4 linked regions of the Cricetulus griseus genome follow. The protein of the gene in region 2 binds, or shares a complex with, the protein of the main gene of each other region. Links are inferred from orthologs where the notes say so. Each region holds a gene or a part of one and is shown on either strand. Other genes may lie near its edges. The genes, in order: Stx5, Stx7, Vti1b and Bnip1.

Region 1 (8,065 bases), on a different chromosome or scaffold from region 2:
GCTAACTTACTCCTGGATTGAAACAGCTTCCTAGGGAAAACTGTGTCACCTGGCAGAATGGGTTGGTTCTCTGGTGTTTCAACATCATCTCCCCTGGGCTCTCAAAGGAGCTCATACTTCCTCAGCTGGTCAGGACCATGGCTGTGCCAATGACATTCCCTTTACTGCATTCTAGGATAGAATTTCCTGGACTATGATTTTCTATTTCTCCTACCTAGAAGGTAAAACAAAGGGAGCATTCCTTTCATACTAGGTTCCACAGGGAACAGGTATCATGGATGGACAACAGGTTTGCTGTCAAAACAATTTTATAGTCCTCTCATCTAGTACTAACCAGGCTCATGAGATCTGAAGATTGGGTATATTCTGGATGGCATGTCCATAGAAAGAATTTTGTAGTCCTCTTGTAGTCTAATTTGCTTTGAGGATCCCTTTCTGGGTGAGGGCTTGGCTAGAGATCTTTGTGGCTTATTTCATTTGAAGTTCTGAGACTCGGGCAGGGTTGAATCACTATTTGCCATTTGTATAGTCCTTCATATTAAAGTCTGATTTAAGTACTAGGCCTTTGCTACAACACATGAAGAGCTCCCCACTGATGGGAGCTGTTATTCTGTATATGTTTCTTTTATTGGTTGATGAATAAAACACTGTGGCTAGTGGCCAGGCAGGAAGGATAGGCAGGGATACCAGATGAAGAGAATTCTGGGAGGTGTAGGCAGAGAGGAATCATCCTGTGAGCCCAGGAAGAGAGGACAAAAGTCAGGCATTCTCTGGTAAGACCATGTAGAAATACATAGATTAGTAGTTATAGGTTAATAATTAAGACAGAGCTACCCAATAAGAAGCCCAAACCATTGGCCAACAGTTTCATAATTAATACAGTGTGTGTTCATTTGGGGCAAAGTGGGTGGAAAAGAGTGCTTGTAATAGCCCACTCCTCCCCTGGGGTAAGGCTAAGCTTTCCTGCTTGAAATTCACCACCCTCTAGCTTTGGTCCAATCTGCTTTTCTATTCCTCCACTACCTTTAGATGGACATATGAGGGACAAAATGTTTACATACTCTCAAGGATAGACATCTGCCCTCAGTCTGTAATCATGCTTTTAAGCAGTCCTTCCCCCAGCATTCTGAGATGAGGTACATACTGCAAATGAGAAAAGTTTCTCTGAGGGGGGCTTATAAATAGTAAGCAGTCTTGCCAAGCATCCCTTTAATCCCAGCACTTAGGAGGCAGATGAAGGTGGATCTCTGTGAGTTCCAGGCTAGCCTGGTCTACAGAGCAAGTTCCAGGACAGCCAGACCTTTGCAAAGAAACCCTATCTTGAAAGAAAAAAAATTAAATAAATAATAAGCAGTCTTCAGAAGGATGATGATAGATATGGAGATACTGGAGACCAGTGTGGGTAAAGATATTCTCATGAGCCAGGCAGTGGTGGCACACGCCTTCTATCCCAGCACTTGGGAGGAAGAGGCAGGCAGATCTCAGTGAGTTCAAGGCCAGTCTGTTCTACAAAGCAAGTTCCAGGACTCCAGGAGATAGCCAGAGCTTCATACAGAAACCCTGTCTCAAAAACAAAAACAAAAAAACAAAAAGAAAAGAAAAGAAAAAAGAAACTCTTGTGATACCTCAATCTTACTCTAGGTCCGTGTCTATGATCCAGTCTCTCCCCAGCGACGGCCAGTCCTAGAGGCCACCTATGGAGAGTACCCATTGACAGCCATGACCCTTACTCCTGAGGGCAAGTGAGTGTTGAGGGGAGGGGGAATTGCTCTGGAATGACTCCAGAAGTTGTACTGAGCCCCTTCTCTGGTCTCTTCCATAGTTCTGTCATTGTGGGAAACACTCATGGGCAACTAGCAGAAATTGATTTTCGGCAAGGTGAGTGGACAATGGGTTACTTGAGAAGGGGAAGGGAGAGAGAGAAAGGTAGTATAGGGAGTCACTGAGTCCTGGCAGTGCCACATTCATGCCCTGGGTTAAAGTTTGGTCTCAACAAAAAACTGAGACCTTGGACTAGTTACTTGGACCCTGTGCCTTTGCTTTCTCATCTATAAAACTGGAATATCTCTGGTAACTCCTGTTTCTAGGGGGATTAGGTATGGAAACATAAGTGGTTTGAACGGTAACTAAGTAAATGTTCACTGGCTAGGTAGCTAACACTGTTCCCTCCACCCTTCTCTAGGACGTCTACTGGGCTGTCTGAAGGGGCTGGCAGGCAGTGTCCGTGGCCTGCAGTGCCACCCTTCCAAGCCCCTATTAGCCTCTTGTGGCTTGGACAGAGTCTTGAGGATACACAGGATCCGAAGTCCACGTGGGCTAGAGCATAAGGTGAGAGCCCATCCCTCTGGCATTCCCCCACTCTAACATCTTTTTCTGGAGACTTTCCCCCCTCCCTGTGCCCCACATTCAAGTTTCTGTCTCTGCTCATCTGGGCTCAAGACCCCTTTTATTTTACAGGTTTATCTCAAATCTCAACTGAACTGCCTCCTCCTGTCAGGCAGGGATAACTGGGAGGTGAGCAACTAGTTAGGTGTAGGGATTTGGGAGCCAGAGGCATGATGGGGAGGGATTCTCTGTGGAGAGAATGGGAGGCAGCTAGAACATAGACCAGGGCTGTCTCTCTACTGTAACCTAATTTCCCTGAGGGATGCTCTACCCTGTATAGCCTTATTGCTGAGGGTGAGGGACTCCAGAACACAACTGCACTGGTTTCTAGGTCAAAGTAGTGGTGTCCAGAGAAATTATTTTTCTGCCAATCTCTTTCCTTGTCCCTGATTCCTGAGTTTCTTTCTCACTCATCAGGATGAGCCCCAAGAACCTCAAGAGCCCAACATGGTACCCCCAGAAGACACAGAGACAGATGAACTTTGGGCATCTTTGGAGGCAAATGCCAAGCGGAAGCTCCCTGATTTAAATCAGATACAAGGGACTCTCCAAACAAGAAAAAAAAAGAAGCGGCCTGGATCCTCCAGTCCTTGAAGACTTTTGCTATTTTGTTAATAAACAGCCCAACACACACAGAGACCCTGAACCTTTTGTGATGGGAGAAAGGAGAGGTGGCTTGTGGGTGGGAGGGGTTCCCTCACCCGGGCTGTGGGAGACCTGACGTCACAAAAGCTGGGTCCAGAGCTAAGCAGGCTGGGGAGGGTGGCAGAGTCCTGCGCCTCTCGGGGCCATGGGCTGCTGTCAAGACAAGGACCATCAGACCTCTGATGAGCATGCAAGGGAGGAAGTGACCGACGAAGGTAGGCAAGGTAGGCCCAGATTCAAAAAAGGGTCAGGGAGCTGGATTGGGAATGGGAGTGGGAGGTGCCCAGAATGGACGGCCTAAAGAGACTGGACTAGAGAGGAGAACTGAACTAAGTGGCCTCGTGGCCCTTGCAGACAACGAAGTCAATTTGGACAACGCAGGCCGCCGCAAACAAAGATCTAACGAAAGTCTTCTGATCACCGTGCTGTGGCGCAGGCTATCCATGTTCAGCCGTCGGGGGTCCTCACGGTCAAGCAAGAGGCTCTCAGACCTGACTCAAAAGCAGGAGAGTCAGATCCAGGAGCGCAAACGTGAGGGAAGCCACAAGGAACCAGAAAAGGGCTGACTCCAATCCTGCTCTCGTCCTCCCCAACATCCAGAGAATAAAATTAATATTGTGGATCTGCCGAAAACATGCCTCTGCCTCCACATCTGTAGGCGCCGAGGCGCTGGCTCTTTAAGACTCCTCTGGCCCAGCCCTCTGGGATCTGTTTCTGCTCTTCAGGGGCGGGGCCACAGCGGCAGTTTAACCAATAGGAGAGCGGAGTCGAGCATGCAAGGGCAGAGGTGTGTTCTTCCTGTCTCTGGGCTTAAAAAAATAGGCGTGGCGCGGCATCACGTCACGGGGGTGGGGTTACGTGTGGGTGACGTGGCGGCTCCTGCTCTTTGCTCCGATTTGGGTGGCTTACAAGTCCAGCGAGGAGGCGGCGACGGCCTGGAGAGAGTGGCAGTGGCGGCGGCGGTAGGCAACAGAGGAGGTAGGGCTTCGTTGGGGTAGGGGGCCAGTTTCTGTCGGTCGTCTCAGCTCGGGGGCAGCGGCTTGACGGTGGGGGAGGGGGGAGAAGGGAGCCATGGGCAAGCCCTGCTGGCGGCTCCGCGTAAGCGAATACCTTGCTGTCCAATCAGGAAAGGCCTTGTTGAGAAAGACGCCGGCCCTGTCCAATCAGTGGCTGCAGTCTTCCAACAGGCGGAACTTTGATGGAGGTGGGACTTCCTGTTTCAAATAAACACTTAAAGAGGTTTTCCCCCCCTCCGCCCACCGAAGTGTGTCCACCTTTGGAGGTCGGTTGCCGTTTTTCCGTGAGGGAGTTAAGGAAGTCACGTATACCAGAGGGCACGATTAAGATCTGGGCCAACTGCAAAGGTCTGGCTGGAGGCTCAGGGCCGCAGGACCAGGCTTTGGCTGTTTTCTCGACTTTAGGGCCCCAGCCGGTGCTTTGGCCGTCAGAGCCAAGTTGGAAGGAGATTCTGAGGAGGCTTCGCCTTGGGCCTGGAGGAAGCTGACCCTTCTCGCCGTGGCCGGGCTGCAAGATCTACGGGTGGCCTTGGGCTCGAAAGCCTGTCAAATACGGGAAAGGGCCTGAGGATTTGCTAGTTGAGGGGAAAGCTTTGGGGAACGAGGCTGTCTGGAGAATGACATTCTCCTCTCCACAGCAGTCCGAGGTTATGCGACTCGATGATCCCGCGGAAACGCTACGGATCTAAGAACACAGATCAGGGTGTCTACCTGGGTCTCTCAAAGACACAGGTTCTGTCCCCTGCAACTGCTGTCAGTAGCAGCAGCGACATCACTCCTTTGCCCACCCCGGTGGCCCTGGTCCCTTCCCCTCCCGACACCATGTCCTGCCGGGATCGGACCCAGGAGTTCCTGTCTGCCTGTAAGTCGCTGCAGAGCCGTCAGGTAAGGACCTGGAGTGGAAAGGCAGGTGTGAGCCTAATTAATGCTTACGTTTTGTCTGCTAGTTGTCTAAATTTACTTTACAACAAAGATTAGCGAATCTTACCAATAGGAGTGGAGGAATTGTCTTCAGCAGGGATTAAGAAAAGATTAAATACCACGAACGATGAGTCAAGATTTAAACCTACATATAATTTTTTTTTCTTAGCTATAAACCACTGATAAATTTAGATTGTCTGATGCCAACAGCACTGGAGTGTTTAGTGGATATGTGAGGGAGCAGTGAAAAGCTGAGCATGAATAGTGAAGAGAACTAAAGTATCCACTTTTTGACATTACCTTTCAGAATGGAATCCAAACAAATAAACCAGCTCTACGGGCTGCCAGACAACGCAGTGAATTTACCCTTATGGCCAAGTGAGTTAAGAGAGTCTTTGGGGGGGGGTGGTAATACAATGTCTAGGAAGTTAATTTGCCTGTGTTGGTTAGGCTGAATGGGATTGGTTGTGTTGGAGCTTATGGGAATTAGCCTCTTTCCTGCCCTTTACCACAGCCTTCTCACTGATGATCATTTGCAGGCGCATTGGAAAAGATCTCAGCAATACATTTGCCAAGCTGGAGAAGCTAACAATCTGTGAGTGTTTGGTAGATCTTTCCTAGATGGGACAGTGAAACATAGTACTAGGAAGTGAGGATCGTGCAGTTTTTGTTTTATTTTCTCCTATGGTGCTGGGGATTTTAAACTAGGACTTTGTGCATTAAAGCAAGTGCCTCTACCACTGAACTGTATTCTTAGCCCTTTGAGCCTTGTTATTACCATCACCTGTTGTAACACTTCATCTGTCTCTGCAGTGGCAAAGCGCAAGTCCCTCTTTGATGATAAAGCAGTAGAAATTGAGGAGCTAACATACATCATCAAACAGGTGAGCTGCTAGCCATCAGGAGAGCCCAGCATTCTAATTAGATTACTTCCATCATTTTCCATCGCCATGAATCCCCAGGGTAAGTATCTAGACCCATGTCCAAACACCCTGCTCCTCCACTGAGTCCATAGACACTTAGGATCATCTAGCATTTGTAAAGTACTGTTCTGTATGCTGATGGAACAAATGAGAAGCAAGATTATTGTCTTTAAGGGTTCATTCTTCTTAAGAGTTACCCAGCATCAGGAGCCTAGGCTTAAAATGAGTAAGTGATAGTATAGAAAAGATTTTACAAAAAGATGAATGAAATAGTATGCTGGGAAAGATTGACAGAGGATATGAAATCTGAACTGGATTCGGAGGTTATATAGAGGAAATAGAAGGACTTACCAGTCTGAGGAGTTTATTTACAGAGGTGTTGATTAGAAAAGGGGGAAGGTCAGCTGAGAGTAGTGATGAACACCTTTAATCCCAGCACTCTGGAGGCAAAGGCAGGCAGATCTCTGAGTTCTAGGCCAGCCTGGTCCACAGAGTGAGCTCCAGGACAGCCAGAGTTGTAAGTTTATTCTCTATAATTACCTTACGTTTGTTTGATTTCATTCCCTGTATCCTTTCTACTTTTCTAAAAGAGAAGGAAAAAACAAAGGGGCAGGGCAAAAGATTTGCAGATACCTCAGGAGCAGGTTCTTTGTTTTGGTTTCAAGACTCTAGATATATAGCCCAGTCTGGTATTTTTGTTTAAGTCAGGGTTTCTCTGTATATCCCTGGCTGTTCTGGAACTTGCTGTATAGACTAGGTTAGTCTTGAACTTAGAGATCCGCCTGTCTCTTGTCTTCTGAGTACTGCAATTAAAGGCATATGCTACCATTCCTGGCTACATGGTGGTGGTTAATTTGTGATTTTCCTGCCTCAACCTCCCAAGCACAGGGATTATATGATGTATCATTATGCCTGCCCAGGATTTTTCTTTCCTCTTGTTCACAGGTGTATTACAAGTGTTTATAATAGTGACTGGCCTGATTGTTGGTTGCCCAAATGAATGACTGGCAAGATGTTGGTTGTTGACTGAGTGGCTAGTTGTAAAGAGCATTGTGGACCTTGATAACAAGTGTAGAATCATGTGTCTGGGTAATATGTCGAGTCTGATCTGGAACATGGATTGGGTGGGATAGAAGTTAAGGAGCCACTGGTATGGCTGTATAGTACAAATATGGTGGCAGAGGTCAAAGAACAGATCCACTGGGGCTGGAGAGATGGCTCAGAGGTTAAGAGCATTGGCTGTTCTTCCAGAGGTCTTGAGTTCAATTCCCAGCAACCACAAGGTGATTTACAACCATCTATATTGAGATCTGGTGCCCAGGAATACATGAAGGCAAAAGGCTGTATACATAATAAATAAAGAACTCTTCCACTGGATTCTGAAAAACTTGAAGTTGCTTTGTCACCCACTTAAGTTGTAACTTTGTGTGAGCTTCTAACTTCTGAGTTGCCATTGTCTTAACACTAAGGCAGAGATAGTAAAAGTACCGGCCCCACAGATCTTGTGAGATCATTTGTTTGCTTTTGGGGGATGGGGGGCCAGTTTCAAGACCGGGTTTCTCTGTGTAGCCCTGGCTATCCTGGAACTCCCTCTGTAGACCAGGCTGGCCTTGAACTCATAGAGATCTGCCTGCCTGTGCTTCCTGAGTGCTGGGATTAAAGGTGTGCTCCCCACCAACTGTCTGTTTGCTTTTGTCAGTCATATACACTGGGTTTTCAAGGCTGAGACTACCTTGGGTTGGTTGATCCAAGCTGGTTTGGCTGAAGAGGTGATACTTGAGCAATGTCTGGATAGTGAAGAAAAGCAGTCCATTTGGTGATCTGGTGGGAGTGCATTCCAGAAAGTGGGAATGTAATGTGGAAAATGAGCATGGAAAAAGGAAAGATCTCACTGTGGGTAGCGTCCAACAGTGAGACAAGCAGAGGGCTGAGAGAACTAGGCAGTGCAAACAGCAGGCCTGTGTAAAGCAGCTCAGGCATTTAGGTTGTGTTCTAAATTGAGTGATAAGCTCTTAGGACATTGTCAAGCAAAGGGATGACAATACCCTGAATTTGGTTTTGAAGATCACATTGGCCACTATTAATGCAGTAGGTAATAGGAAGGCAGACCAGAAAGAAGGCACATTTAAGAGGCTCTTGGAGGTTTTTGAGTAGAGAAGATGGTTAGGGTATATG
Region 2 (7,612 bases):
GGGGGGACTTCGAGAGCCCATCCCACTTGAAGGGATGCGCTCTGTCTCTGGACACATGGGGAGGGGCCTAGGCCCAGCACAGGAAGATTTGGTGGATTTGGTGGAGCCCCGGTTGGGGGCCCTACCCTGCCTGGGGAGTGGCGGGTGGATGGGGTGGAGGGGGTAGGTTGGAGGTGGGGTAGAAGGAATGGGGGTGAGGGGAGGGAGAGGGAGAGGGGAAGTACATGTGAAACAAGCCTGTTCCCTAACTTGAATTAATAATAATAATAATAATAATAATAATAATAATAATAATAATAATGAAAAGAAAAAAAAACCCTTCCTCCCTATGCCCAGACTCCTGAGCACTGCTTCCCAGTCAATAGAACTCATTCTTGTGTGAAGGTCACAGGTGCTTTGCTAAAGAGATGTACTTTGATGTAGCCATGCCTGAAGCTTTGGTGTAATAATTCCCACATGGAAATTTTTTTTCCAAAGTTTTACTGTGTTTAAGTACGTGAAAACTTCTGGAATATCAGACTCCAGAAGTTTTTGATCCAGCACCGGCTAAGCTGTGCTGACCCAAGTTTTATTTGTACCTCACCTGGATGGTTTTCCTGCCTTCTGTGATGCTTGCTTCCCACAACAGGAAAAGTGTGGAGTAGTAGTCTCTTGCAAGCTTCATGATTTCCTATCTCTGTAGATTAATATGAGAATACACATGCCCAAACCAATTTTAAATTGACTGGCATGCTTCTGATCCTCCCCTCCCACAGAATTCTAAAGTCAGCCTATGCAACCACTTCAAGTCAAAACTCTAAGTTAAAAGAAAACGGATTACAGTTAATGTTACCTGATAATCTGCTGCTCTTGACAGCTGCTGGTTCGCCTGTTGAACGTGTACCTCTGCACTTTCTACATTGGCTTCTATGCTGTCTTTAAAATAAAATGCACATACACATAGAATTGTTAAACATGAACTGATGAGCCAATTATAAACCACCAAAATTCATTCAGCAGACATGTAAGGAAAACACGCAATCCAGATAATATACAAATGCATAAGCAAATGGCCTTAATCATATCTACATCTACTGGACACAACAAAAGTGCTGTCAATTTGCAAATGTCAGATCAGTGTCAGCACAAGCTCCTGTCAGTTTCTAACCCCAGAGCTTGCACTGCCTCAAGACCAATGTGCAAAACACATCAACCCTCTTCTCCCTAGGCCCAAAGACATTCGACATCACATAGAAAAAGTCTACCTCAAAGAACACTTCTCAAAGAACACTCTCCTCAGGACCAAGGAGGGGTCCAAACACATCCAGTCCTTTGTACGTTTATTTACTCAAACTACCCTGTTAGTTCTTAGTGTTCCTCGGCTTTGTATTTGATTCTGTTAAATACAACACACTTCAAATGATTCACATAAACACAGTGCTTTACCTACTTTGCATGGGACAGTGGACAACTTCACAGTAAGAATTTGATAATTGTATTCTGTTTTCATTAACCTAACTGCCGTGAAGTGTAGTCCCCACCCAGGACCCACAGGCCTTCACAGCAAACTGTAGACGCTATGCCTTTGATTTCAGAGGATCCCAATGAAACAGAAAGGAAGTGGTTTCTTGCTTGAAAGAGCTGCTGCAGGTAAACTGCAGGAAACTTGCTCCTACTGCCCAGAACACACCAGCAGGACTTACCAATCACATCTCCTTGCTCATGAATCATCATTCCCAAGTCTTTAAAGATTTCATTAATGTCCAAAATATCAGCCTAGGACCAAAAAAGCACACATTATACATTATTAGAAATTCAGTTCCCCACTCCCACAAATGAGGAAATTCAAAAGAAAAAGAAAGGAACACATTTATCCCCACTCATACATATATAAGCATGCAATTAGAAGTAATATATAATTTTGGAGAACATTGGAAAAATATACTACTATAAGCAATCCTAACAAAAGAGCTCCCAGATGGCTACTCGTTGTCGAGAGTAAACCTGTGACAGTTGCTTTATTAAGTGAACAAGATGGAAATTGGGGACTGATAATGGAGCAAGGCCATGGGGCACTAAGGCCAACCTGTTTTCTTGTCACAGGATATATTTTCTTAAAGAATATGGATATTATTATATTTCAATAAAAAATTCACCAGTTTGTCATCAGTTTGACAATTTCAATGAATAAGACATTATGTATAAGTGTAAAACCCTACATTAACAAATTTGAATACCCAACAGACTATAGTGAAATTTTAAATGTCATTAGTGGGTAAACAAATTATAAATTTATTGGCAAAAGAAATTACAGCTTTACTTTTCTTAATTATATACCTATTTCTTTTTCACCGATTAAAGACTTCATTTAACTGTGTAAGGAAGTTTGCACACCTATCGTGGCTTTAGTTTCCCTATCTGTAAAGTGTCATAGTTAGCAAGTGTAAGTAGCTTTTAAGAAGACAGAATGAGAAAATTAATAGTTATCCCAGTGCTTTGGCACATGGAAGACCTTGAGTGAACTGTAGCTACTGGTAACTATTATTAGCCCACTTTTTAGGGGCCAGATTGGTTCCACAAGAACTACAACTTAAGAAATCCTTCATCTCTGTAATACAAGAGACACCCAAAAAAAGCAGCACAGTTCTTTTAATGCTGTTGTAAAAGTCTTACTCATGGCGGGATGGTGTGTTCGGGCTGAAGGATGTCAGTTCCCCAGACTCCCTGGACAGATGAGTATTTCTAGAATGGTGTTTTCTCAACACTGAAAGAACTGTGGATGATTTAACACTGTGGATGGAATACGACCTCTCCCCCTACCACCAACAGCATCATTGCTTACACAGGAATTATTCCAAATTCTACAACTAGAAATTTCACCAAACTGACAGATGTTCTTAGAGTTTTCTTCCCCGGCATTATCCAGTTCTGTGAACATGCTCAAAGAACAGGGCAGCAGTGGGGCATGCCTGTAAGGCTTACTTCCAGCTGCCTGATTGAAGACTCTCTCTCATGAATAAGGCGTAGGTCATCTTCTGTAATTTCTTCATCTTGGACCTGCACTTGAGGCTGTGTTTGGCTATAAAAATAAATACAGAAGGAAGATGTCTTATCCACTACATGGGACATTTTGATCCTCAAGACCAGAATATTGCTCATTTTAAAAAGTGCTAAAATAGGTTAGGCATAGTGGTACATGCCTGTAATCCCAGCTGAGGCAGAAAGATCTGGAATTAGTTAGTCTTGGCTACACGGTGAATCCCCGGCTAGCCTGGACAAAACAGTGAGATCTTGCCTCCAAAAAACCTCAATAAACAAATAAAAACTTCTAAGTATAAATATTTATTTTATCCAAACTTTATCTCATTTTCATTATACTCATGATTTCATCATATATAGATTCAAGTTCACTTAAGTATTAAAAATTATACTTGCCAATTTCACATATAAATATTTTATTCTTAAAATTAAATAAATAAGTTTATTTGGGTGATCTATTTACATATTGCATTTAAAATAGTTTATAAATACTTAATTTTCCCAAATTTATTATTTCTCTACAAATAATAAGCTGTTTATGCAATAATATAACACAAGCTTTCATGAGTTCTGCTTCATGAAGTATAATAGATGAAACTTGAAAAATTATCTTTTGATTTACAAACTGTTTCTTTTTATTCTTACCTTTCCCAGGACACAAGATTCTTTTCTTTCAAGCTGTCTTCAGGAAAACCACCCTGAAAATTTTAGTTAAAAGACAGAAAGAAAGCAAGAATAAGGAAAAGCAAACAACACACAAATGTCCCCTTAAGATGGTGGATCTGTATTTTGGGTGGGTGTGTGTTCATGTGTGTGTGCATGCGTGTGAGTGTGTGTGTATGTGTATGCATACATATGGGTGTGTGCAGCTGCAATGGCAGCAGGAAAGGATAAGTTCTTGTTCTAATTTTCTAGGTCAACTAACTGCTTAAGTAGTGACAAAATAATAACTTAAACTGATGAGGATGGAATTCACTATTACAAGGACCAAATAATAAATATAATTTTACTGTCATTGTGAGTGAAATATCAGCTAATGGTGGATCCTGTAAGAATTAAAAACTAGACTAACACAAAAGTTTACTTTATCCTTTCCAGGCTCATATTCACTTTCCGAATCCCTTGGCACATGCCCTGAGTTCATCACCAAACCCTGGCACAAACCCAAGCACCAAGCCTCAAACCGACTTGCAATGAAAAGGCCACCTGGACTTGACCTTTAACCTTTGACAAGACAGGTTTTTCTGTTTTTATGGAGTCTGTACTTTGCTATTGCTCCACAAGGAGTAACTACAACAATACACAACATGAGTTTTCTTAAAACCTGGGGTGAGATCCCCTTAAATGGTCACAGATTTAAGAGTGTCACAGATCTCAACTTTATACATTAGGACGATGTCAATGCCACTCACAATACTCACCGATACCCTGGAGCTGGCTCTCACTCGAGCAACAAACTCTTTCTCTCTCTCAGCAGCTTGCCTCTGGGTCTTCTGAAAGTTTGTCAGTGATGTTGTGAATTCTGCCACTAATCGGTCCTTCTGTATCTTTCTTTGACGCTAGAGGAAAGGGAGAGACTGACTCAAACTGAGAAGCTCACCACATCTGCAGTAGTTGCTTCCAATTCTTTGGCTCTTTCTTTAATTCTAAAATCGCCACTCAGTCCCCAGTTACAGAAACCATCAGATGAACTCTCAGGAACCTTTATAATGGGTTCGAACCCTTGCGCTTTTATCTTGAGGCAAATGGCCCACTGTGCAGGATTTCTCACCTTAGACTTTAGTAGTGGCTGATAAGTGGGTCATGGTCTTAAGGAGAAATTTAGGTAATCCTCCTTTTAGGCAAATAAAACCTATACACTAAGCAAGCAAGAAGCTAACTTGTGCCCCTAGGCACATCTTGAGTATGTGCATGTGGGTGTGGGTGTGTGTGGGGGGGGCAATAGCCCTGCAAAGCCAGGATGCAATTACACCAGGAGGCATTTTCTCAGCACGTACTTAATTATGGGTCAGGGCAACTACATGGAAATAATTTCTGCTTTGTGCGACCACATGATACTACCTGAACAACTAAATATGGTTCTGAGTTCTGGTAACTAATCTCAAATTCAATGTTTTTGGTTGCCTAACTTCCTTTGTAGCATCGCCACTCAAAGATCTGGCCATGCATTTAATTTCTTTTACATTCAGTACATCAAAGCATGCATTGGAAAGCCTGGTACCTGTTCACTGGGGGTGGTGGGCAGTGATCCAAACTCTTTAATGTACTTATCTGTTTCTTTCGCAAGTTGGTTAGTATATTGCTGCTTCTGCTGCCTAAAGTGAAAAGAAAAAACAAAAAGAGAAACAGAAGGCACAAATACATTATTGTCAAAGAAAAACTCCACCACTTGTGTCAACCTTAGTAAATGGTTGTAGAAGAACTAGTCTTTTTGTCTGGGTATTTATAGTAACAAACTATAAACAGTGAAAGTACTCAGTTTTCTGAACATGTGGTCAATTTCTTCTGCCAAACCAAATCTTTAGGTTCTGTTTTTCTGATAAATACTAAGAACTATGACATAGAAGGGTCTTCATTACCTAAAATAACCACTCTTGGAGAAACATGAATTGTGATTACCTATAAGTATAGATCAATAGCTACAGATGAAAATGACTTCAGTGAGAAGGGCATGTAGTCAGGACAGTGATGGCGGTCTGGTCCTTTATATTTGAGAGACTGAAAATGTCTATAGCTCTTATCTGTGTCTCCCCTAGGACGTCATCTGAGAAAGAAAGACTATTTGTTTTTGTCCAGTGCCCAGGTGTGAGGTACATCTTGTATGTCTTATTTCTTTATGTGAATACTTATGTTCCACAAACACAAAGATGGAGGAGAAGTAGTGACAGTACAAATTTACTAGTTATTAAACTTGCTGTGGAAAATCTAACAGAGCTTCCTTATAAATAGACCTGAATACAAAAAAAATGGGGGAACTAAATTATACCTATACCTGTATTTTCCTAGATATCTTATAAAAAGAGTATGAATTTTAATGAAAAACCTTGATACTCAACAATATAATCTTGCATTAAAGGGATGCTTAGAAAAGACACCAAGGCCTCCCTTGTACATCCCTTATGTTACACATGAACTGCCAGTGAGGCTCACAATAAAAAGATGCTCAGATGCAGATGCCTGTATAGAGCTAGTGAAGAAGAAAAATAACCAGCTCACAGTTCTAGACACCAAATGCCCTTGCTTGGACGTGCTTCTCTAAGTTTCTGGAACAGGATAGTCAAAGTTCTCAAAATGCATGATCATGTCTATGGATTCAAAATTTCCACTGTTCGTGCCCCAAAACTAATGTGTCTATTTAGTATGAACTTCCATTGAATTGAATTTCAATGAATGTTTGTGTATTAGCTATGATTCACCCCAACACTTATTGTAGAGAAAAAATATGAACTACAGACAACTACAAATACTTCAAACTTCTTAAAAACATGAGTTTATATTCTGTATCTTTCCATATCTTCTTTGTACTTGTATTCTAGCTAATTGTTATATGGAGATAATGCTATGTGTGTGCATGTATGTTTGTGTGTACATATATATGTGTATGTGTGTTTGTGCATGTGTGTGTTTGTGAGTCTGTGTGCATATGTGTGTCTGTGTCTCTGTGTGTGTGTATATATATGTGTGTGTGGGGGGGGGTGTATCACTTGTAATCTGTAGCTAGTTAAAGTGCTGAGAACTCAAAAGGTTCTGAATAGTATTGGGCAGATCATCAAGGCCCTAAAAGAGAAATTTCCCTTATGAGCAATTAGAAATGGTTCTGTGTGTGAGCATCACTCAAATTTTACAAAGTTCAGGTGAGAAAAGATGACAAACACTATGAAATCTATAAAACACACAAAGTACTATTACTGTTCCTCTACTGGCATATTTACTGATACATATGTAGTGTGTGTGTGTGTGTGTGTGTGTGTGTGTGTGTGTGTGGTGTGCATGTGTATGTGTGTGTATTTGGAAGTTTTGACAGAGTTTCACTGTGTAGCCCAAGATGATCTGGAACTTACTCTGTAGCTCAGGATGGCTTTACATTCTCAGCAATCCTCTTGCCTTTTCTCCAATAAAATCCTACTATAAAAGCATCATAGAAATGGTTTTCTCTGCTGGGCGTTGGTGGCGCATGCCTTTAATCCCAGTACTCGGGAGGCAGAGGCAGGCAGATCTCCGTGAGTTCGAGGCCAGCGTGGTCTCCAGAGCCAGTGCTAAGATAGGCTCCAAACTACACAGAGAAACCCTGTCTCGAGAAACCAAAAATAAAAATAAGTAAATAAAATGGTTTTCTCTTGTTTCTGTCTGAAAAAAAAAAAGTTGAGGGCTGTTGGCTCAGAGGTTAAGAGCACTGGCTGCTCTTCCAGAGGTCCTGAGTTCAATTCCCAGCAACCACATAGTGGCTCACAACCATCTGTAATGAGATCTGGGGCCTTCTTCTGGCCTGCAAGCATACATACAGACAGAATAGTATATACACAATAAAGAAATAAATCTTAAAAAAAATACTTAAAAAAAAAAAAGCTGGGTGGCTGGTGCACAGGTCTTTAAT
Region 3 (7,612 bases), on a different chromosome or scaffold from region 2:
AGAATAGAAAAAAAAAAAAAAAAAAGGGCTGGAGAGGTGGTTCAATGGTTAAGAGCACTTCTGCTTATTCAGAGGACCCCAGTTTGATTGACAGGACCTGCATGGCAGCTCAAAACCATCTAACTCCAGTTCCAGGGAATCTGATGTCCTCTTCTTGCCTCCTTAGGCACCAGGCCTATGTGGTACAGAGACATATATACAGGCAAAATACCTATACACATTTTTTAAGAATAGAAAAATATGCCACTACATCTGAAATTACAATATGTTGATGACCCTGTAATGAATAAAGCAAGAGAGGGGGAGTGGCACAAATCAGATTCTTCAGAAATAAAACTAACGATTTCTAAATCTCACGGACAAAATTTCTTTTATGGTCTAGCATAGAGGCACACAACTTTAATCCTAGGAGGTAGGAAGATCAGTGAATTCCAGACCAGCAGCCAGGCTTAAACGAGACCCAGTTACAAATATATATACACATATGCACATTTTGTGTGTGTGTGGTATGTGCACATCTGTGGGAATGGAGGCGCCTTCCTTGGTTGCTCTCCACCTTACTAAGAAAGGCTCTTTCAATTAAACTTAGTCACACTGGCTGATCCAACAGTTTCTAATACTTATCCCCCAACTCTGGGGCTACAGATATATGAGCTGCTTTTATTGCATGACCCATCTCTATGGCCCATGGGAAATTATAAGGGGGGATTTCTTAGCCAAGCAATTTAAAAATTAAGTATAGTATTAGGCGGGGTATTCCCAAAATTCAGGCCTCCTGTAGTATCTGGCCTTTATATGGAGGACCCACATACTTCACACATTGCCCAGACTTACTCTATTCTTGGTACGTTCCAACTGGTCTCGCTGCTCCCCCAACTCTTCTATGATTTCTGTACCAATCTGGTCAGTTTCTGTGGCAATCCGATGAGAACGCTCAATGCTTTGGGTGGCCCGGTTCAGGCTTTCCGTGCCTTGTAGGAGCAATGCTCTTTGAGACTGTAGCCGATTCTGACAGGAGTAGGGAAGGGACATGTGAAACTTGTTTATTCCATTATAAATTTATTGTCAATATATTCTTTATGACCACCTTCTTGTGCAAAAGCAATATAGTGAGCAATCATTTCATTATGGTTTTTCCTTTATACCTGCAAGATACTGGTTCTAGGCCAATCTTTTTGAAGTCCCATATGTAAAATAGTATAGTATTTGCATATTAACATAGACATCCTCCCAATACATTAAATCATCTTTAGATTAATTATGCCTAATAAAAGGTAAATGCTATGTAAAGTTATTTTTGGCTCAAGAGAATCATGGCCAGATAAAAGTCAGATGTCCGGCATATAAGAGAGTTTTCAAAGATCTGTATGTGTGTACCAGGGTGCCATGGATGCTAGAAAACGGCACTGGCGCGCTCAACTAGAATTTTTTTGAGACAGGGTCTCACTGTGCAGTCCTGGCTGACCTGGAACTCACTATGTAGACCAGGCTGGTAGAATCAATATTTTTAATTTAATCCAAGGCTCAATATCCAGCTGCAGCAGGCACAAAGAGCTGGTCAGCTGTGCTTTTAAAATAGAATCAAAGATACTAATGAATTATAAGATCCTGTTCAAGGTCACAGACTACAGAGGCACATCCCACTGCCTGTTATACTTCTGTGACACAGAAGAGATTTAAAAAACAAATGAAATACCACTGGAGCATTTTCCCTGTGGACAAGTTGAAATCTATCATAAACATGGACTGGTTCGTTACTAGCAACTTCAGTCAGCACCCAAACTGGGCAACAGGATACAAAAATCACCTGATAATGCAAACAGCCTGCAACTTTAAAACTATTTGCTTAAATATATATATGTATATATTTTGAGACAGTCTTACTGTAATTCAAGCTGGCCTCAAACTCATGACCCTCTCAGCTCGACCTCCAAGTTCATGTCATTATGCCTGGCTACCCTTTAACTTCAATAGTGCCACAAGTAAACTAGCCTCTACAACTCTGGAAATGATTAGTTCGCTGAAGATGGGCTTGGCTGGTACTAAGGGCTTAGGGACCATATAAAGCATTCTTTCTTGGCAGAGACATTGCCACATTCTTATATTAAACAAAAAGCTTATGTTGGGGAACTTCCCCTCATGCCAAACAGCACTCTGACATGATCACACTGGTGATTTGTTCACAGGGAAGGTAGAATCTGGGCCACAAGCTTCTTAGCTGCCCTAACTCGTAGGAGCTCTAAATTTTTAAGAGTCCTCACTGAACTTTTCCTCCATCTACAATCCTAAACACAGCATGACCACAAAGCAGCCTAGGTCAGGCCAGCATTAGTAAGTACAGACAGGGATAGGTGCAGTACTAAGTTCTGACCTATTGGAAGCACACACAACCAAGAAGGGCTCAGCTCACAGAGCTTATTACAGAACAGTGGCAAACAGCACAAGATGTGCTTGTGCACGCATACAAAATAAAGAATGTAATAAACAAAGCAGGGGGCTGGACAGATGGCTCAGAGGTTAAGCCCATTCTCTAAGTGGTTCAAGATATGGGTTCTTGAAGTCCAATTTTATGTCTCAATCCTTTATGTTAGTAGCATTTTAGATGACTTTACGAGACTAGAGTGTCAGAATAGTCCTCCTGGGAAGCACCCTGTGTTTTTTCTCTATCAGTTTCAGAGCCATCTTGATATTAAGCTAACAAAGCTTATATTAATCTTGAAAAAAACACACACACACACACACAAAACAAAACGTCAGAAGGTTGAGATAGGGTTTTGTATTAGCTCAAGTAATCATCCTATCTCTGGCTAGAGAGATGGTTCAATAGTTAAGAACACTAGCTGGTCTTCCAGAGGTCCTGAGTTCAATTCCCAGAAACTACATGATGGCTCACAACCATATGTAATGAGATTTGGTGCCCTCTTGTGGCCTGCAAGGATACATGCAGACAGAATATTGTACACATAAAATCAATCTCAAAAACAAATGAAAACTTAAAACCTAACTGGATTTTGGGAATATATCTGAGAAAATGATTCTAAACTTTATATAAGTTCAGGAATTAGATCAATAGGTCAAGATGGAGTCTGACTAGGAAGAGTTTCTAGGTTTGCTAGAAACAAGTCCTGTTCTATATATGTATGCACACAAAAATCTAGGCAGACCCGCATTAAAAAGAGCGGGAGAGTGGGACTGGATGCAGGAAAGAGGTCAAGTGCAGGAAAATAAAAAACCAAGACTCCAGTATACACCGATGTAGCCGTCACCCATCTAGTTCGTGTACCACAGGCCCTTGTGGGGGATGTCACTACCACTGTTCATTCTTACCAAATGCTTACCACTTACCAAATGTTCGTTCTCTAAGGCATATGCACCATACTTCACATCTCCTCGGCCTCCAGGTGTGGCTGTCAAAGGTGTACTTCTCACCTCTCGGTGGAGTTTAGCAAGGTCCTTCCGGTAGTTTCGAAGCTTAGACATCATGGGGTTACGGAAAGTCAGGGGTGCATACCGTAGTTCTTCCTCCATCTCTGCTAGCTAGGATGGCAGAAAGGGATAAGTAGACAGCCTGGTTTTTCCCTAACCTGGGCATATGCTTAAACTTTACCACAGGCTACCCAAAATAGCAACTATATTTTTGTGGCACACAAACACCACATTCACTTTAAGTGCCTGAAATAGTTTCTAGTAGACACTCAAGGAAGTACGTTATGGGGTTGGAGAGACAGTAAAGTACTTGCTTTGCAAATATGAGGACCTAAATTCAATTTCCAGAATCTATGTAAGTAAAACTGGCCATGGCAGTGTACTTAGAATACCAGTGCTGGCTGGCCAGGAGAGTCTACTTGGCAAGTTCCAGGCTAGTGAGAGAACCTGTTTCAAAAAAGAATGAAGAAAACAAACAGCAAGGTGGGTGGAACCTGAAGAATGAGGTCACATGAATGTGATCCTCTTCCACATGTGTACTTCTTCCACAAACATCAATATGTCATGAATGTCCCAGTGGGAGAGTGCCTATCTACCAATCCCAAGCATGTGCAAGGACCTAGGCTCTATACCTAACACTGCAAATAAGTGCGCACGCGCGTGCACACTTGCACACACACGCATACACACTCTCCATGAAACAGACATCTGTGCTAAGTTCAACAAAGGTCAGTAACTGACCTCTGTGGCCAGCTTCAGGAAAGGGATGGGAATGCCTCTACTACTCATGTCAGGAGAGGCTAGTACTTCAGTAATCATCAAAAGTTGACCTATTTGTGTTTGTAAGCCTCCTCAACACCCATTCCCGTCAGTCAGCCTCATTTAATAAGTGTGATGGTGAGTTGTGCTAACTTGGCAGGATCTAGAATCACCTAGAAGACACATTTCTGGTCACACCTGTTATCTAGGGTAGCCTCTAGGGGATGATTTTGATTGCATACTCAAGGATGCAAAGGACTGCCCACTGTGGGTAGCACCATTCCCTACAGAGCATCCTGGACTGAGTGGAGAAAGGGAACTGAGCAGCAGCATGCATCACCATCACTGTGACGTGACCAGCTGATTCAAGTTCCTCCTACCTTGACTTGTCTACTACAATGGACTGTACCCTTGAAACGTGAGCCAGAACAAACCCTTTCTCCCTTAAGACACTTTTGCCAAAGTATTTTATACAATAATGAAAGAGAACCTAAGAGTTGCAAACAGTCAAAATCAAGATTAGTAGACAGGAAAAGGTTACCTGTTACGAAGTCATAGAATTTCTAGAAAAGACCAAAACCAAGTACAAGAAACAAGGACTTGCTCCCTGTCCTCACCGTTTCATTTGCTTCCTGTTGTTTTTCATCAAAATCTCTGACCAGCTTCTTCTTCTCTTCTAGAAAAGACAGGTGCATTTCAAACATTTATCACTGCTTCTGTGCATCTGCAGAGGTCATTCCCTGTGCTTAGAATAAGCTTACCATTGTTTTCTGGGTGGGATGGTAATACTTAACTCCCCCACCCCGCCCCTGCAAAGGCTTAGAAACATTTGGAGACTTGCTCTCACTGTGCCCCTGGGTACCCACTGCATTGGCATTTAGTACCCAGGGAACTGTTCCTGCTGAGGACAAAGTCTAACATAACAATTATTTGGTTCTAAAGCCAACAGCATCCCTATTACAGGTTTAAATTAACAATCATTTTTAACTTTTCCCCTGCCCATCCTCACAGAGGGCAGGCACTCTCTCAACAATATGAATATCTGCCAATACTGGGTTTCCAAAGTGAATGTATAACCACCACTATTCTGCAAAACAAACTCAAAATTCACCTGCTCTGCTCACTAGTGTGATATATCTCCCTCACCTATGGTGGCTTGGATAAAGACTTGACCATGGGATGGTCATTCTTTTCTCAGCCCTTTGCATGTCCCCTTAAGTGCTGCACTTGCTTGCTTGTTGTTTGTTTAAATTAGGCTCTCCCTAAGTTGGCCAGGCTGCCTTCAATTTTGCAATCCTCCTAGCTTAGTCTCCCAAATGCCAAAGTTATGGGTAAGTTCAACTATTCCTGGCTGGTTTTGTCTTCAACAGAAATTACTGATCTTCCATTTTAGCAATAAGAGAAAAAGCTTCAGTGTCAAAGTAAAAAAAAAAAAAAAAAACAAAAAAAAACCCAGCTAAATTAATAGTACTTCACCTTTACTATGTTTCTTCTGATCATCTGTAATGTGAAGATTTTCCACTTAAAACATACATTTCCTTTAAAGCTAACTGTATTAGACACATATTTTACATGAGTACACTGATACAGGAAGAATGTCTAAATAACAGTAAAAGCGGCATCTGGCATAGTAAAAATGACTAATGTACTTGAAATGCTGTCGCCTGGTAAACCTTTGTAGGGGGGAGAGCACTGGTTAGTCAAGGGGATTAGGTTCTGGAACCAGTATCGGACCTCCCTTAACAGGAAAGTATGGCAATTTTCTTCATTTCTATGGCTATAAAACAAGGAAGCAGATCATCCCTTCTTATATAACAAGCAGCACTCAGCTTTATTTGTGAAGAATTTGAATTTTTAAAAATGTATGCATTCACTGGGTACGGTGGCTCACACCTTTAAGACCATGCAGAGGCTAGTGGACCTTTTGAGTTTGAGGCCAACCTAGTCTACACTGTGAGTTCCAGAGCTACAAAAACACAACACAACAAAACATTCAACTGAATGAGATACCTGAGGAAACATACACATAATCTACTTACTACAAAGTTATCATTGCAGTTTTTGATCTCTTTTTTTTTTTCTCTTTTGAGACAGGGTCTTCTATAATTCAAAACTTACCACTTGCTTTGTAGCCAAGCATGACCCTCAACTTTTGATCCTCTTGCCACCACCACCCAACTCACTATCTACTATGACCACCCACTGTTGTTTGATACTCCCTTAACACAAGGCACTGCCAGGACAGAACAAAACCCCCAAACAAAACCCAAGGATCCATTAATTAACAACAATAAAAACAAGGAATGGTTTAGCCCTGGCAAATGGTGCACACATCTTGACTATATTCGATGTAACTGAGATGGACACCAGAGCATGTTACTATTCCTGAGGGCCTGTGCTCTGAGCCACCAATAATGAAAAAAGTAAGACTTGTGGTTAAGAATGGCCACTTACACAGCAACAATGTACTCTTTTGTAATCATGTGTCACTACTCCTATGACAGAGCCTATCTCCAAACTCAAGCACACCCTCTTCGTGACCCAAGCTAGAAAGCACATGGCAGCAGTATTGTATACACGCCTGGATACCTTCCCTAGCTTGGATCTTTCTAGAACTGTGTTATTCTTTATTCTGCCTTTGTTAAAGGATTTGAAAATTTACACTCAAGAAGCAAATTCTAGAACAACTCAAGAAAGTGAAAGTGGTGGGGAGAGGTAGCAGTTGGATGAAGGGATATGCTTTCAGCAATGTTTCTACGTCATGGTATTTTCACTCTGGAGCTGTAATTCTGTCTGATTGTATAAAACCCAAGTGTCCTATTGTGAGTGCTCTACAGCTTATATACTATACTTCTAGGAAATGCATTACCTTTCAAAATTGAGCTTCATGTTTCTGCTCCTTTATGAAGTCTGAGATTTAGAGCAAAGGGGAGGCCTAAGAAACCATTCCTTCCTGGGGAAGAAGCTAGAAGAAGCTCTTCCCAGCCTTGGCTCCAAGATAACCAAAAAAGTAACAAGTCACAACAAAAAGGGCCACAATCATGCACAGGCAATTCACTGTATGAACTTCGACAAGTGTGTGTTCAAGGATGAGCCATTAAGTTTGGAACATGAAGGCTGCTGTGGTCAGAGGTATTTTCAAAGTGCCAGTCTATGTTCTTCCCAAGCTCTATGTCCAGCTGCATTGCTATGGGAGCTGTGCCTCATAGCAAGGGAGTCAGGAATCAATCTTGTGAAGCCAGAAGACATAACACCCCCACCATGTCAACTTTGAGGCTTTTTGTGCTGTCTTTTTGTGCTTTAGTTTACATTACAGCTAGGATGGATCTCAGAGATTATCAACTTCACTTTACAATTCTAGAAACTAGAACCTGGACAGCTAAGCATTTTCCCTAAGTGGTGTGGACAGCATAGTGACCACTGCTGC
Region 4 (7,612 bases), on a different chromosome or scaffold from region 2:
GAGTTGGTTTTCTCCTTCCACCTGTGGGGCCTGTGGATGGAACTCAGATCATCAGAGTTATTGGCAAGTGCCTCTACCAGCTGAACTATCTCATTGGCCCGCAATAAATTAAAAAGAAAGAATTCATATGAGTGTTTGTATGTATGTGTATAAGAACACTATGTGCCTGCTTGGAATTGGAATTAGAGGTGGTTGGGAGGCCCCAAGTGGGTACTGGGGAATGAACCTTGGTCTTCTGAAAGAGCAGCAAGTGTTCTTTCTGACATCAGTAATTTCTTGTTGAATGAATAATTTAAGCTCACGTCCTAGGAGTTAGGACACGATGAAGCATGGACATTCCCAGTGGGATATCCTGTAAAACTAAGCATTTATCACTCCATTAAATAAATGAGGTTTATTCAGGGAACAGCCACGAACTGTCATCACCTTCCCTCCCACAGGCTCTTCTTTTCTCCACCAGATCTAGCATTTATGCCTCAGGACATGGAGGGAGGAGGTGCATCAAACCCCAGAGTTGAAATATTCCCTGTGGCAGCCACAGCACTTGCTAGCTGAGTGAACGTGGAGTGCCTCTGTCCTGAAGGCTTCGTTTTCCTCTATTCCACTGCCCTTTCCAAGCAGCTTCTTGCAGGAAACTGGGCTGCTGTGTTTCCCTCCACTGGCTGCACTGAGCAACAAGAGAAAACCTGAGGGGAGGAGCAGTCCAGTTTGGCGGCCCAGCCAGTCCTTGAGAGCCCAGTCCTGAATCGGGAGTGCAAAGGGCCACAGCTGGCAGCTCTCACAAAAATGGAAAAAGGCGCTTCTTCACAATATAAAGGACTGTAGCAAGGAACAGGGCCAGGGCAAGGAAGATGAGAAGTTTGTCTGTCAGTTCCCGGCGGTTGTATTTTGTGATGAGCTTCCGGCCCAGCTGGATGGTCCCTGACATGGACTTAAACTCTTCATTTGCATCCAGGAGAGTCCGTGAAGAGCTGACTGCAACAGAAGAGGAAGGAGCCTGATTCAGACTGTGCCACCTCAGCAACGAAGAGGATGCTGGCCATCTGACTTTCAACAAGGCCAGTGCTTGAGCCAGGCAGGTGAGATTTATTTTTATTATTGTTAGTTATGTGCATATCTGTGTGGGTCTAGGCACATGAAAGTTAGCATGCTAGGTACTGAACTTGGGTCCTCTCCAGGAGCAGTACTTGCTTTTAACCACTGAGCCACCTCTCCAACCCCCTTGTCATTTGCTTTAGACGTGTTGAACTGTTTTCATGGATAATGTATAGAGTAGATAGAGGATGAAGTAAGGGTAGAAATGAATCAAGGTGGCTGTGACAGCCATGAAAGCAAGGTGGGAAGTTCAAGAATTTACCAAACCTCGCCGTCTACTTTGGTTGACATGTGAAATCTTACAAAGAACAAACTCCTTTTCTGTTTCCTACAACTGAAGGGCCCTAGAGGAACAAATTCTCTACAAAGGAGCCATGGTGGGAAGGCATTTGGCAAGAATATGGCAGTCTCAAACAGCCTCCTCTGTGACCTCTGGCTAGGACATTTAAAGGAACTCACAGTAATGGTCTTGTCAGTGGTCCTAATTCCCAAACCTGTCTGGCAATACTAAGCCCACAAGCCAATGCTTAAAAACCAGACTCCTGAACCCCTTGCAAGCATCGATGACAGACCCCATCTCCAGAGAGACTGCCATTCCTGCTTTTCACATGAGCCTAGCAATGCTTCCTCAGGGGAGCACTGATGGCAGGAGGCATGTCAGCACAGCTGCATAGCTGGAGGAGACAAAGAGCAGCATCTACCCACCATCCTGTCCCCCCCCCCCCAAAGGACCAAACTGCCTTGCCATGTCCTGAGGCACAGTTTGGGTGTGCGCTCTGGAGCAGCTTCTCTCCTTACCTAGAGTCTGCATAGCCTCTTCACTCTGCTGCACCTGCTGTGACATCATCCTGCTGATCCCCATGAGGCTCTCTGTGATGGTGCTAGATGTCTGTGCCAAACTCTCTTTGGTAGTTTTCCTGAAAGTTCAGAGGAAGGAGCAATAACTACAAATCCTAGCTTGTAAAAAGCACCATCTTAACCTATCACATCAGTGCTCTTTCTGTTTGTGCTTTGAGATGGGGGTCTCACAATGTAGCTCAGCCTGGCCAAGAGGGCAGAATGTCCTCGTCTCAGTCCACCCCCCACCAGTGAGTGCTAGGATTACAGGTATGTACCACATAGCCAGCTAGCATATATTCCTTTCTTCTTCTTCTTCTTCTTCTTTTTTTTTTCAAGATAGGGTCTCACTATGTAGCCCTGGATGTCCTGGAACTGGCCCTGTAGACCAGGCTGGACTTGCTCACAAGGATCCACCTGCCTCTGCCTCCCAAATGCTGGGATTAAAGGCATGGGCTATTACTGCCAGCTTGCACATTCCTAAACCATCAGTGTGGCTAAGGATGTATGCTGAGCCCACGTTCTCAAGCCCTGCTGGGAGGAATGGAAACCATGCTGCTGTCTGTAAACCAATTTGCACTAAGTACAAAGAGATTAGAAATGTTCATTCACTCCCAGAGAACTTATTGAAGGAACTGGATGAAAACCTGCATTGATGCAGCATACGATACTGAAAAGGCAGAAATGCCAACACACCAACAGGACTGGTTAATAACATAGATATTATGCATGCACAGTTAAAAGAAGAGTCTTAAAAATTGTCAGGGAGGACTGGGAGTTAGCTCAGTGGTGGAGCATTTGCCCTTCATGCATGAGACCCCAGATTCAACTCCTACTACTACAAAAAACAAAACAAAAACAACAACAACAAAAAAAAATCGAGCAAACAAAATCCCAAAATCAAAAACCAATTTTAGTCAAATTTAGTCTGGGTTGGGGATGATTGGTTGATAGAGTGCTTGCCTAGTATGCACGAAGCCCTTGGGTAGGTCTCCAGAACCGCATAAACTTGGTGTGGAGATGCACACCTGTGAGATCTGAAGTTCAAGGCTATCCTCAGCTACACAGCAAGTTTGAACCAGATGGGGATGTATGACACCCAGTCGCAAAAAAAGAAAAAAAAAATACTTATGCATTAACATAAAGTACAAATGTTATGAAAACAAAAGGCCACCTCACATGGCGCTTAGATGTGTTATCAGAGCCCAAAGGGACAAAAGGAAGATACCTTTGCCTTAAGAGGTCTCCTCCCTGCATAAGTTCTGCTTTTTCCAGGTTGTCAATGGCAATTTTGCAGGTAAGATTGGCTTTCCGCCATGAGGTCTGGTTGCTGGAAGAAGAAGGGTCACACATGAGGTTCTGGTGTCACCACCAGGTTGCTTGGCCTAACCAGTCCACTCTCCCAGGTATGACTCAGAGTTCAACCTCATCCCTCTCCACTTCCTCTTCTTGGTAGCCCTGGTAACTACTTTAGCATAGGTTCTAATATCTCTCCTTTGAACCTCTGGAAAATGTTTCCAGAATGGTCTGTCACTATCCCTCTTCTGCTAGGCAGTTGGGAGACCAGGGAAATGGCACTCTACTAGACACAGACCCACAATGGCTTTATTGCCTGACAAGTGTCTTTGAGAACCATGACCTAGCATTCCTCCTCCATACCTAGTACTGGAACCATCACTTATACCTCTTGCAGTGGCTGTTAGAGTGGTTAAAATCCCAAAAGCCAACATTCCTCAACATTCCTCCAAGGCTTGCTATTTTTGTCTATTTGACACCAGTCACAGACACTACAAATATCACAGGGCACCCTGACTGGTGTGATTTATTCACATTCTTCACCTGCTCCTTTGTAAATGATGTCTCAAGTATAAGCAACACGAGATCAGCAATCCATTTTTCACTGACAAACAAGAAAAGCCAACCATATCCCTCTGACAATCAAATCCATGCTTTGGAACTCTCACACAGCAGCTCAAATCAACTGAGCTAAGCTCCAGACACACAAAATACTAGAACAGAGTGCTTAACTAATAGGGTAAATTTCTTTAAATTAAAAAAAAAAAAAGTATGTGTCTATGATTGGGGTGGGGGAGCATTCCGCAACACATGTGTGGAGGTCAGAGGACAATTTTGTGGAGCTGACTTTCTCCTTCCACCTTTTTTTTTTTCTTTTTCTTTTCTTTCTTAAGACAGGGCTTCTCTGTGTAGCCCTGGCTGTCCTGGAACTCCACTGTGTAGACCAGGCTTGGCCTTGAACTCAGAGATCCTCCTGCCTCTGTTTCCCAAGTGCTAGGATTAAAGGCACTCTTCAGCTGGGCTCTCAGATGCTGAACAGCACCTCCCAGCCCATTCCACACCTGCCATTTCAAACAGTTAACATCTTCAAACTGTACACAACAGTGTTCTGCAAGGCTCAGGGTTGCAGAGCTGAGCTCCTGGTCTTCAAGGAGCTCACATTTATTAGGGAGGAAAGTAAGCAAATACTATACAGCTTGGCAAACCTGGTAACCTGATAAACATATCTGCTGCTTCAACATGAATTTCCTGTTTTCTTTCCTCAGACCTTTAAAACCACACCAGGAATAGGAAAACAGGAAAAATGTTTTGTTTTAAGCCCACACTAAACTGACAGTGTTTGGTGCAATTTACCACACCACACACACACACAAACTCCCTGTGAGTTCATGCTTACAATCTGAGAACCTCTGGTGGCACAAAAAGCCATGGCCAATGAGCCAGGCACACTTGCACTACTCACTCCCATGTCTTTGTCAGTCACTCTTAACAGCTGAGTGTTATTCACACAGCTGCTGTTAGTAAGCCTGCAGCTGGAGAATAACTCAACTCAGAAATGAAACCACAAACAGTTGTGACAAGGAAAATGTATGGGAATTCTGACATAGCAGATACTACTGAAATGGCCTTGAACATCATGAGGCTGGGAAAGGTGTGTTTGTAATGACCCTTTTGGACTATAGGACAAAAGTACAACCTGAAGGGAGAAACAGTGATTCATGTTGCCAGAAAAAAAGTTATATTCCCTGGTTTAGAGACTAAGAAATGGCACATACTGCTTTATAATCAAAGACTAGCACACAACTGCAATGTCACCAAAATCTCAATTCTAACATAAACTTACATTCTGTGCATCATTCATTCAGATGATGCCACACTGAAAGCTAAACTATGGTCCATCTTGGGTAAGCAGGCTCACTTTCAATGAGCTTTCCTCATACTAATTATTCTTGAATAAAATTTACCCTGTATTACAAAAGTAATCATGTTCTTAAAAGTTTAATTTTTATTATTTTAATCCTGTGTGTGTGTGTGTGTGTGTGTGTGTGTGTGTGTGTGTGTGTGTGTGTGTGTGTGTGTGATCAGATCCCACTGGAGTTAAGAGTTACAGGCAGTTGTAAGCCATCTAACATGGATGGGTGCTAGGCACTGAACTCAGGTCCTCTAGAAGAGCAGTACACATTTGAAACTGCTGAGCCATCTCTCTAGCCCTGAAAAGTAATTGTATTTTTGTTTTCAACTATATAAAAAGTGGATGTGAGGGTGTAGCTACATTGGTGTGGTGCTTGCCTAGCATGCACAAAACCCTTGCTTTGATTTCTCAGCACCACATAAACATGCGGTGGCGGCACACGCCTGTAACCCCAGCACCTGGGAAGCAGAAGCAGGAGGAACAGAAATCCAAGGTCATCCTCAGCTACATGTTGAGTTTGAGGCCAACTTGGAAGACAAAAGACCCTGTCTTAAAAATAAACAACAGAACCAGGGCCATTGAGATGGCTCAGAGAGTAGAGGTGCTTGTGTGCAGGCCTGATGAGTGGAGTTTCATCCCTAGGTCTCCCCAAATGTCAGGAAAGGACCGACTCCACACACAGCTCCCACACTTACAAAATTTTAAGATACATGAATATACACAGTACAGCAGAAGGTTAATTCTGTAAACATATAAACACTGTGAGCACTATAAACACACATAGCTCCAAATGTCTATGCAGACTCTACTTGTCCCTCTTACCCCCTCCATTTGAGACTTACTAATCTAGAGAACTTCCGGCCTGTGTGTGTTAATAACACCACTACATCACCATTAAGCTAGGCTTATTAGACAAATACATGTGCAAGCCTCACGATTAGCCGGCAAGCCAGCAGAGGTGGCCATAAGCTACTCTGCCTACCTGAGCATCTGCTTTTTGTGGTTCTCCACTTCCTGAAGTAGAAGCTGCTTATCCGACTCCTTGTCTTGCTCCCTTGCTGACTGTTCCAGCTCCTTGGAGGGGAAAAGAGCTGTTAGCCAGAGTGCTTCTGTTTCTAGAAGGGACACACAAAAGCAACTGAAGCATCTTTTACCACAGATACTTGGGAGTGAGAGGGAGCATGTCCAAAACAACCAAATATCCATTTAAAGATATAGGCAAATTTACAAGAAAGAGAAGAAAATCTTGGCAGCCCAAAGGTGATTTAGAAACAGGGTGCTGGAGTGGGCAGCTCTAGAATGGCTGTTCTGGCTGGAAGAGGGGTTGCCATTCCTACAGCCTTGACACTGTCTGAAATAAAGGTGGGGGGGCACACCAAAACAAAAGCCCACTAATCCCAACGCAATATCAGAAGCATACCACACTGATACATGTTTCCAAATGTTGCCCATTTCTGCACCTACTCCAACAGAGCTTTGAAGGTTTGAACTTGTTTGTGAACATAACACTAAGGCCTAAGGCCACCTGACACTGAAGCTGAACTGAAAGCATCACAAACCCAGGCCCAGCAGAAGCTTCCAGTCTGGGGATGTCCACTCACCAGCAGAACACAAACACAGACACTTGTCTGGTTTATTTTGCTTTGGTTTTGAGGGGGCTGGCAGGGGGTGTGCTATGGGACTTTGGGTAGAGGAATGATTTATCTTTCCTGAGTGGTTTGGGAACAGAAGATAAATTAACATAAACAATGTCCCCAGACTTATGACAATCCCTGGAGACTGAGAGATGTGCCCTGGGCCAGGCTGCAGAAGCTCCAGGAGAGGCGTATGCCCATGATTCCAAATAACCAAATACCAAGGAAAAGAGTCTACCATGAGCAAAGGATAGCAGACATGACCAACAGTACCAGAGTTAAGAACTTGAGATAATGGAGTTGTCACACACACTGTAAAGATGCCACAACATCTCATGCCTCAAGTCCTATTTTTTAGTTCCACTTTCAAGCATTTTTAGCCATTGAGCTAAAACATAAACATTAGTTTATCCAGATAACAATCTACTCATTCCAATATAAATTTGCATGTGAATCTATGTATCATTTCAACAGCTCAGAAATGACTTCCAGGTTTATGCCCCTCAAATATTGCTAAAGCAGAAAAAAAGAATAACTGACTATGAATTGAAAAAAAAAAAGAGTAATTTGGCATGATGGCACATGCATTTAAACCCAGTACTTGAGGCAGAGGCAGTCAGATTTCTGTGAGTTCAAGGCCAGCCTGGTCTGTACAGTTACTTATAGTACAGCCAGAGCTACATAGTGAAGCACTGTCTCAAGGGAAGAAAATGGAAAGGGGTGTGCAAATATCACCAGGTATAGACATAAGTTTTTGTTTAGAATCCCCATTCCCTTCAATGCAGTCACTGCACAAAGCACCTTGTGGTCTATTTTCTGCTACAATCTCTTCTGCCTG

What was found.
Region 1: Stx7 (region 2) and Stx5 share a complex: the UniProt entries of both Homo sapiens proteins name them as parts of the SNARE complex. The link is inferred for Cricetulus griseus from reciprocal best matches to the Homo sapiens genes STX7 and STX5.
Region 3: Stx7 (region 2) and Vti1b share a complex: the UniProt entries of both Homo sapiens proteins name them as parts of the SNARE complex. The link is inferred for Cricetulus griseus from reciprocal best matches to the Homo sapiens genes STX7 and VTI1B.
Region 4: Stx7 (region 2) and Bnip1 share a complex: the UniProt entries of both Homo sapiens proteins name them as parts of the SNARE complex. The link is inferred for Cricetulus griseus from reciprocal best matches to the Homo sapiens genes STX7 and BNIP1.

The regions. Positions count from the first base shown.
Region 1 is NC_048596.1:51,354,176-51,362,240, reverse strand, and holds the start of Stx5 (syntaxin-5), read left to right. Parts: upstream 1-3,862; 5' UTR 3,863-4,008; intron 4,009-4,175; exon of another isoform or gene 4,176-4,684; 5' UTR 4,685-4,706; coding exon 4,707-4,931; intron 4,932-5,274; coding exon 5,275-5,345; intron 5,346-5,506; coding exon 5,507-5,562; intron 5,563-5,780; coding exon 5,781-5,851; intron 5,852-8,065. Other genes in the region: Wdr74 (WD repeat-containing protein 74), read left to right, coding at 1,642-1,742, 1,823-1,878, 2,183-2,328, 2,458-2,514, 2,803-2,979; testis-expressed protein 54-like, read left to right, coding at 3,176-3,254, 3,385-3,596. UniProt on the Homo sapiens protein: Mediates endoplasmic reticulum to Golgi transport.
Region 2 is NC_048595.1:243,389,534-243,397,145, reverse strand, and holds part of Stx7 (syntaxin-7), read right to left. Parts: intron 5,334-7,612; coding exon 5,240-5,333; intron 4,578-5,239; coding exon 4,440-4,577; intron 3,717-4,439; coding exon 3,664-3,716; intron 3,059-3,663; coding exon 2,962-3,058; intron 1,756-2,961; coding exon 1,683-1,755; intron 916-1,682; coding exon 833-915; intron 1-832. UniProt on the Homo sapiens protein: May be involved in protein trafficking from the plasma membrane to the early endosome (EE) as well as in homotypic fusion of endocytic organelles. Mediates the endocytic trafficking from early endosomes to late endosomes and lysosomes.
Region 3 is NC_048598.1:124,465,520-124,473,131, reverse strand, and holds part of Vti1b (vesicle transport through interaction with t-SNAREs homolog 1B), read right to left. Parts: intron 4,862-7,612; coding exon 4,803-4,861; intron 3,538-4,802; coding exon 3,346-3,537; intron 1,009-3,345; coding exon 835-1,008; intron 1-834. UniProt on the Homo sapiens protein: V-SNARE that mediates vesicle transport pathways through interactions with t-SNAREs on the target membrane. These interactions are proposed to mediate aspects of the specificity of vesicle trafficking and to promote fusion of the lipid bilayers.
Region 4 is NC_048600.1:47,011,325-47,018,936, forward strand, and holds the end of Bnip1 (vesicle transport protein SEC20), read right to left. Parts: intron 6,256-7,612; coding exon of another isoform or gene 6,215-6,255; coding exon 6,123-6,214; intron 3,263-6,122; coding exon 3,161-3,262; intron 2,013-3,160; coding exon 1,894-2,012; intron 976-1,893; coding exon 779-975; 3' UTR 376-778; downstream 1-375. UniProt on the Homo sapiens protein: As part of a SNARE complex may be involved in endoplasmic reticulum membranes fusion and be required for the maintenance of endoplasmic reticulum organization. Also plays a role in apoptosis.